Linked DNA regions of Ovis aries. The protein of the gene in region 1 purifies or fractionates together with the protein of each later gene. This does not show direct contact. Links are inferred from orthologs where the notes say so. Each region holds a gene or a part of one and is shown on either strand. Other genes may lie near its edges.

The links.
Region 2: the proteins of EZH1 (region 1) and AEBP2 purify together in Homo sapiens (affinity purification with mass spectrometry; 3 studies listed by BioGRID and IntAct, with this or other methods). This does not show direct contact. The link is inferred for Ovis aries from reciprocal best matches to the Homo sapiens genes EZH1 and AEBP2.

Annotation. Positions count from the first base shown.
Region 1 is NC_056064.1:42,498,522-42,502,021, forward strand, and holds part of EZH1 (histone-lysine N-methyltransferase EZH1), read right to left. Parts: intron 3,097-3,500; coding exon 2,916-3,096; intron 2,663-2,915; coding exon 2,466-2,662; intron 570-2,465; coding exon 478-569; intron 1-477.
Region 2 is NC_056056.1:196,107,775-196,111,913, reverse strand, and holds the start of AEBP2 (zinc finger protein AEBP2), read left to right. Parts: upstream 1-1,339; 5' UTR 1,340-1,628; coding exon 1,629-2,281; exon of another isoform or gene 2,282-2,621; coding exon of another isoform or gene 2,622-2,644; intron 2,645-4,139. UniProt on the Homo sapiens protein: Acts as an accessory subunit for the core Polycomb repressive complex 2 (PRC2), which mediates histone H3K27 (H3K27me3) trimethylation on chromatin leading to transcriptional repression of the affected target gene.

The sequences.
Region 1 (3,500 bases):
TATATCTGGAACCAGTGTCAGTTTTTTACGGAACAAAGCCAGATGGAGTATTGGCTGCAAAAAAAACACCTTCCAACCCTAAGCAAAGGTTAGCTAGAAGACAGTGTTATTATGCAACTTAGAGATACAAGTGCCAAAAACAGAACAACAAAACTCTGGTCAGAGTTGAGAAGTGAGCACAGTGGTAATAACAACCCAGCGAGAAGAAACGGCCTCAGGATGGAGCCACGAGGCCAGTTCACATCCTGCTGGCCGGGAGCTTAAAAATCAGTTATTTCATGGTCCACAGCACTGCGGGACAAGGGAAGGGCTGATTCAAGACACAGACTCGCAGGGAGCACTGAGGAGACTGGCCCTCCACTGGGTGATGCTGAACTGATGGGCAGTGGCTGCAAAGGGAGGCAGCAGCGAAGCCCTAGGGGAGGTCAGGGAACAGGGAACGGTCTGGCCACAGAAAGCCTTTGGTCCAAGCCTTGCCTGTGCTTTCTCTTCTTCTTCTGTGAGGGGTTCATAAGCTCATCTGTGGGCAGCTTCAGGATAAGTGACTCTTTGACTGCAAACTGGAAGACCTGGAAGAGAAATCCAACAGGACCTGTTACCTCTTGAGCTGAGGGGTCAGATAAGTGACGTAGCCAGGTGCTGGTTTCTGGAGAGCTTGTGGGCAGATGTCTGAGCGTCTTTAGCAGGCACAGACAGAGAAGCACCGGGACACCAGGTTGCTGTTTCTGAAGCTCTTTGTTTCTGGTTGTGTTTTTGGTCTTGATTTGTTTTTGGGTATGCCATGTGATGTGCAGGACCTTAGTTCCCTGTTCCCTGACGAGGGATTGAACCCATACCCCCGGCATTGGGAACAAGGAGTCTTAACCACTGCATCACCAGGGAAGTCCCTGAAGTTAATTCTTAAGTGTTTATCCTGACTGAGCACAGGTACGGTTTTTCTGGTCAGTCGCGTTCATCTACTGCTCTGCCTTCCAATCCAGAGGGAGTCAATTCTTACCAACAGTATCTGCTTCTTATCAGGAAGGGCAGTGTTGTATACCTTGTGTAACTGAGTGATGTGACCTGAAGTACCACCCGGCTAAGCGCTAGCTCCCTCTGCTGGCATAAAGATGTTAGAGCCTTGACTATTATTTTAGCAGGACAGCATTTCACGAAGGCCTGGTCCCTTTTAACATGCTGTTTCCCTTTGAACATTTGTTTCTTAGCTTTTTCTTTTCGGTTACAGGCCCTCTCGCAATTCCATGAAAACTGTGAATCTTATATTCAGGAAAATAACACACAAAAATTGCTTTGTACACAGTTTGCAGGCTTTTAGATCAAAAACCTGTGCCTTGGGGAGATAGGTATGAAATTAAAAAAAAAAAAGGAATAGGGGACACGCCTTTTTCAAGGCATGAGCCTGCTGTGTCTCCTTTTGCCTGGCAAAGCAATAAAGCTATTCATTTCTACTTCCTCCAAAACGGCCTCTCGTGCCTTCTGAGATGGCTCACACTCCATCTATGGTGTTTTCCCCTTGAGTAAACCTTCTTTCACTTAAAAAGAAAAGAAAGCAAAGGGCACTTCAGCTCATGGTTCTACTACTTGTTCTAAATAGAGAGTACATGCAGAAAAGATTGCAGACTCTTCTGGAAAGTGAGGAGCTAAGCGAGGAGGGCTCAAGCTCTGGTGTTCCTGTTTGGACCAGTTGGCCCCAATACCTGACTCCCTATCCCTGTGCTTCAGTTTGTCTGCTCCCTGTAGGCTTCTCCAGCCTCCAAAACATCAGAAGCTGCTATCAGATGGTGATTCTAGTGATGATGTAAGTGAGATGCACAAGGTCCAGACCCAGCCATTAGGGGTGGTAATTAGGAAATCTAATGATAGAACATTTGAAGAATAAACAACTGAGAAGACTGACTTGGGGGGTGGTGGCAGCTGCAGCTACAGAAGCAGGAGCAGGGGTGTGAGAAAAGAAGATCCCCAGAAGGACCCAGGAGTGCCTTCCAGGAAATGGGTCCACATTTAGAAAGAAACGGAGAAGGAAACAGCCACCCACTCCAGTATTCTTGCCTGGAGAATCCTGTGGACAGAGGAGCCTGGTGGGCTGCTGTCCATTGGGTTGCACAGAGTTGGACACAACTGAAGCGACTTAGCATGTATGCATGCATTAGAAAGAAAGGCAAGAACACCACTGCCACCACCAAAAAAAAAAAAGAAAAAACCTAAGAGAGGGTAGAAACATCCAGAAGAGTTAGATAGTGGCTAGAGACAGAAGTAAGGATTCAGCAAGGAGAGCAGATCCTAAGTATTGCTAGGCCTGGTATTTGCAGAAAGCCCCCCAAGTTTGGGGAATCCACCTCCTGGTCCAGAAGCACAGGCTCACGAAAGACTGAACCTAAGACAGCTTCTGTCCAGACAGGCAGCCTTACAAAGTGACCAAAGGGCTCCCGGGGCAAGGACTTGTTCCCGTCCCCTTCAGGCAGTACCTGCTTACACGTCTTAGTCCCCAGAAGTCTGGCTATTGAACAGAAGTTGTTGAAGTAGGTGCCATGAAAGACTCGAAAAAGAGATTCTTCAGCCCCAGTCCACTCCACAGGCTCTGAGGGTGCTTCCACTACACAGAGCTGAGGTGGGGCTGGACTCGCCTTCTGTTTCGTGGGCGTCTGACAGCGAGAGTTCGCCTCTAAGAGAGAAAGGAATGAGAGAAACACAGAAGGTGGAATGCAGCTGGCCTCAGTGGTTTGCTACAAACTCAGCACTTCATTCTACACCAAAAGGTAGAAGAATTAGGAACGAAAATATTCCCTGTCTCTACTGCTTACAGGTGAACCTGTGGAAAGAATGAACAATTTAAAAAGGTAGTAATGTTAACTGTTACGGCATGATCCCGGGTTTACCTTGTGTAGCAAGAAGAGGTCATTTTCTGCTCACTGTACCTGAAGAACTGGAGGCCCAGTCATTGCCAGTGTCCCTGTCACTGTCCCCTTCTTTGGTCTCAGCCACAGCAGAGGCTGAAGTGTTGGAGCAGGAAGCATTGACCACGTGGTGCCTTCGCCGGCGACGCCCGGAGCACTTGGAGCGAGGGTTGTGCAGCATGGCGTACTCCTTTGCTCCTTCCTGCAGAGGTCATGTTACAGTTAGGAAGCAGAAACAGGCCACCATATCGGTCCCATCATCACAAACCATCTGCAATATCTGTGCTGACTTGCAACTTGACACTTTTTTTTTTCCTCTGTACCATATATGACCATGTGATAGCTTCTTAACAAACATCTTAAAGCTTACACACTTATCTCTTGACAAAGAGCTGCCCTATAATACAATCTTTACAAAGATATAATCTTTATATATTATGCACAGATGTTTCTATGCATCTTTGACTGTCCAGTGAGTCGTATCTTATACTCATTTGCTCACAAGCTGACTGGAATTTGAGAATACATTCTCCTGTAGATGAGAAAATGAGGGATGTGCTGAGAGCATGCAGCTAATTATTCCAGAACAGGTACAAGAATCAGGGC
Region 2 (4,139 bases), on another chromosome or scaffold:
GGGTATGCAAAATCCTCCCGGACACCAGAAAAAGGAACAATCGAGTGGTGAATGAGAATGAGTAACACATCTTTTTACAAGTCAGGTGGTGTTCAATTACTTGCTTTCGACAAAGTTGAAAGAGAACCTAGTCAGAGTTGTCAACGGATAGATCATTAAAAGTATTTTTTTCTTGTTAGATCTTTATGTGATTTTTTTGGGGACATATAATTTAGAAAGAGTTCAAAGAATCGAATTGCATTGCTCTGACAAAACTCCATTCATTCTCATGTACTTATTAATGTGAACAAGTTTTTTCAGTGCTTACATTCAAGGAATTAAAAGTTTGTAACTGAATGGAATCATCTCATTTTCATTCTAGAAATACTCGTCCACTGATCAATAATACAGCTTTTAAAAAAGTATTCAATTTCATTTCTGTAAGATGCATTGTCAACAAAATTCCAATTTGAGGGTTTAGTATCTATTTGTAAATATTTGAAATATATTTGTTTTGATCAGTTGAAACAAGTGTTGAGTGTTATGATCTCAGGAGATTTAGAAACAACCCTTGAATTTCAATTTCGATACACATTTTTTTGTGTATATAAGATGTATACAGGAAATATATAAGATGAACAATAAAACAGTTCAAATATAAAATATTAGGATAAAATTCTGCGAGATGTAAAATGTAAATGAGCTCCAGAGGATAAAGGATGGAAATTGCCCAAGTATAAACGAGACTGTATTTTAAAAGATATTGGTGGGTATTAAATCCGTATGGCATTTAGGATTCATTGGTTGACTACATTTACAAAAGTGTGACAGTCGTAAATTATGAGGCTGGGAAAAAATGTGGTTGTCACTTTAAACATGTGGATGTACGAAGATGTACAAAATCGTCTCAGAGGGCTCAGGAGCTAAAAAGTTTGAAGCTCTTGCCCACAGATGTTTGCTCTCAGACTGAGATTTAACCAGTCCTCGGGGTATTCGAACGTAGGTTAGATAAAAACCTGTGGCTCTGCGTCGCGCGTATGGATTCAGTACCTAGCACTGTATTATTCATTTTTACTCATTTTCCTCGCCTCTCCTCTTAGACTGTCAGCTCTCAGGAGCCCAGGGACTTGTTCGATTCTTGGCTCAGCGCCCGCGCGCCGGGGACGCTCCCCAAACACTCCCGGAATGAATGACTCGATCGTGAGCCCTCGGGGCGGGGGCTGTTAGAATCCCCGCCCGGCGCCCAGCTTTTCGTTCCGCGTGTTCCGCCCGCCGCGCGGCCGGGGAAGGCGTGGGCAGGCCCCGCGGAAACTCTGAGTCCCGGCGGGCCGGGGCGGGGGCCCAGAGGGGGCGCGGCCGGGGGCGCGGGCGCGGAGCCGGCGGCCGAGGGGAGGCGCCACCGCGTGCCGCCGCGCAGGCGCGCAGCCGTCTCCGCGTGAGTGCGCGCAGTGGCGCGCCTGTCCCCGCGCGGGTTCCGTAGCGCGTGTGCAGGCTGACGCAGCTCGCGGGCCCTCCTCCCCCTCTGCCGCGGCGTCGGCCGAGTTTGGAGCGTTTGGGAGGGGGACGAGGGAGCGAGAGTCGAGAGAGGGAGGCGGCGGCGGCGGCGGGGAGGCGGAGGAGCCGGAGGAGGAGGAGGAGCAGGCGCCGCCATGGCCGCCGCTCTCACCGACATGGCCGACCTGGAGGAGCTCTCCCGCCTGAGCCCTCTGCCCCCCGGCAGCCCCGGGCCGGCGGCGCGGGGCCGGGCTGAGCCCCCCGAGGAGGAGGAGGAGGAAGAAGAGGAGGAGGAGGCGGAGGCCGAGGCGGTGGCGGCGCTGCTGCTGAACGGCGGTGGGGGCGGCGGCGGAGTGGGGGGCGGCGAGGCGGAGACGATGTCGGAGCCGAGCCCCGAGAGCGCCAGCCAGGCCGGGGAGGACGACGACGAGGAGGAGGACGACGAGGAGGAGGAGGAGGACGAGAGCAGCAGCGGCGGGGGCGAGGAGGAGAGCAGCGCCGAGAGCCTGGTGGGCAGCAGCAGCGGCGGGAGCAGCAGCGACGAGACGCGCTCGCTGAGCCCCGGCGCCGCCAGCAGCAGCAGCGGGGATGGGGACGGCAAGGAGGGCCTGGAGGAGCCCAAGGGACCGCGGGGCAGCCAGGGCGGCGGCGGGGGCGGCAGCAGCAGCAGCAGCGTCGTCTCCAGCGGCGGCGACGAGGGCTACGGGACCGGGGGAGGCGGAAGCAGCGCGACCTCTGGGGGCCGGCGAGGCAGCTTGGAGATGTCGTCGGATGGGGAACCCCTGAGCCGCATGGACTCGGAGGACAGGTCAGTGCTCCGAAGCGTTCCTCCGCCTCCCTTCCTCCTCTGGCGCTCCTGGGCCCCTCCGAGGGGGACTTTTCTGCTGAGAGTCCCCCCTGTTCCCCGAATCCTCGGCCCCTCCCCCCTCCCCCCCGGCTCTCAACTCGGAAACCTCTCCCTGCCGCCGCGCCCCTCTCGCTGCGGATAGCGGCTTCCAACTCTTCAAAACCCTTTTCCCCCCAACTCTCCTTTCCCCGCCCTCTTTCCCCCTCGGCTCTGCGCTCCGTTCGGACCGAAGGACGGCTCCAACTCGGAAACCATCCCCAAAGTAGGCCCAGAACCTCCGGCGGAGCCGAAGAGGGCCTTGATGTACACACCTCGGTACACAAGGTTAGCTTCCCCGGGCGATGTTGGCGAAGACTTGTCACAACTGTAACTGACAAGTGTTTTCCAACATGGCTGGTCTCGCCTGGATGTAAGAGAACTTCCTTGTTCAGGGAGGGGGACCCCAACCATCACTTTTCTTTTACTTAAAAAAAAGACTATTCTTTTCTATTTGACTAGCGCTTCCAGAATTCCTCGTATCTTCCTTAACCTGGTCTCCAAAATGATTTTAATAATCTCTCTTTATTTGGTTGGTGGTCAAACTGGGGAGAAAGTTCTCAAACTGTATACATCGTTGTGTAAGAGAATAATGAGTTGGTGTCGTTTAAGGTAACTTTACCGAGCCGAAGAGAGTTGCAGTGGTAACAAAATGCAGTCTTAGGGTACAACATGTTAGTATGCGTTTTAAAATCTGTGTACACTAATGGTTCAACAAGAGCCGTGATTTTAGGTGATAGTATTTAAAGTCATGTTTTGGCGAGATTTCTGAAGAGATTAGTAGTAGTTTTCTAAAGCTTTTTAGAAAGTGTGGAGACTGACAAAAATGCGCTTCATTTTCTGGGGGCTTTAAGATACTCATTGTTACGGTATGTTTCAGATGTTATTGTCATTATTTTTCATCTCCAGAAGATTTCATATTTTAACTAATTGGTTGTTAATGTATTTTATTTTGCTAGAACAGAACCACGTCATGCGTATTGTACTGCATCTAAAGTATGTTAGCAATTATTTTGACCGTCTGCTAATGTTTGGATGAGCAGTAGAATTTTAACCATCGATATTGGATTTGAAAGTTTTAAGTATTCTAAAGTTCTAGGAATTCTATTGTTAACTGATAAAAAAGGAACACCTTGGCTTATATTTAGTATTATGAGGAATTCACAGCCCTAAATATTTTGAAAATACAGCATCAAATTCTATTTGACATTTATTTTAATATCTAAGGAAATAACCTTGAATGGGGTAAAATAGACTGCAAACCTTGAAAAAATTGTCCTGAACTATGTATGCAGGATAGGAAGGAGAATGTCTTTAAGAAAATTAAAAGATTGGTGTGAACTGCCTAACGAAGCATGTTATTTGTCGTTTTACTGTATACGCCTTCGTTGGTACCAGTAGATATTTAAAAGTTGACATTAGTTCATACAATTCGGCGTCTTCCACAGTTGTTCCATTTACCTAGCATACACACGTACTTGCCTAGTAGCACTGAAGGATTTAAATGTGCCAATCATGTCATTTTCACAACTCTGGTGCAAGACTTAAAAACAGAGAAGAAGCAAGTTAAGTGTCTTACTCAAAACAGTAACTATGGAATGGAAGTGGTGGAGCTGGATCTGAACAAAGGTTCTCAAGTCCCCTGCTAGTTCGACTTCACCAGAGTTAGAATTATTCTCTTTAAATAAGCTACAAGCAGTATGTGCCAGGTTTTTGTTTTTTTCGTTTTTTAAATTTAATGTCTATCTACTATGTCATTTTAGGAGACTGTGAGTAGTTGGTC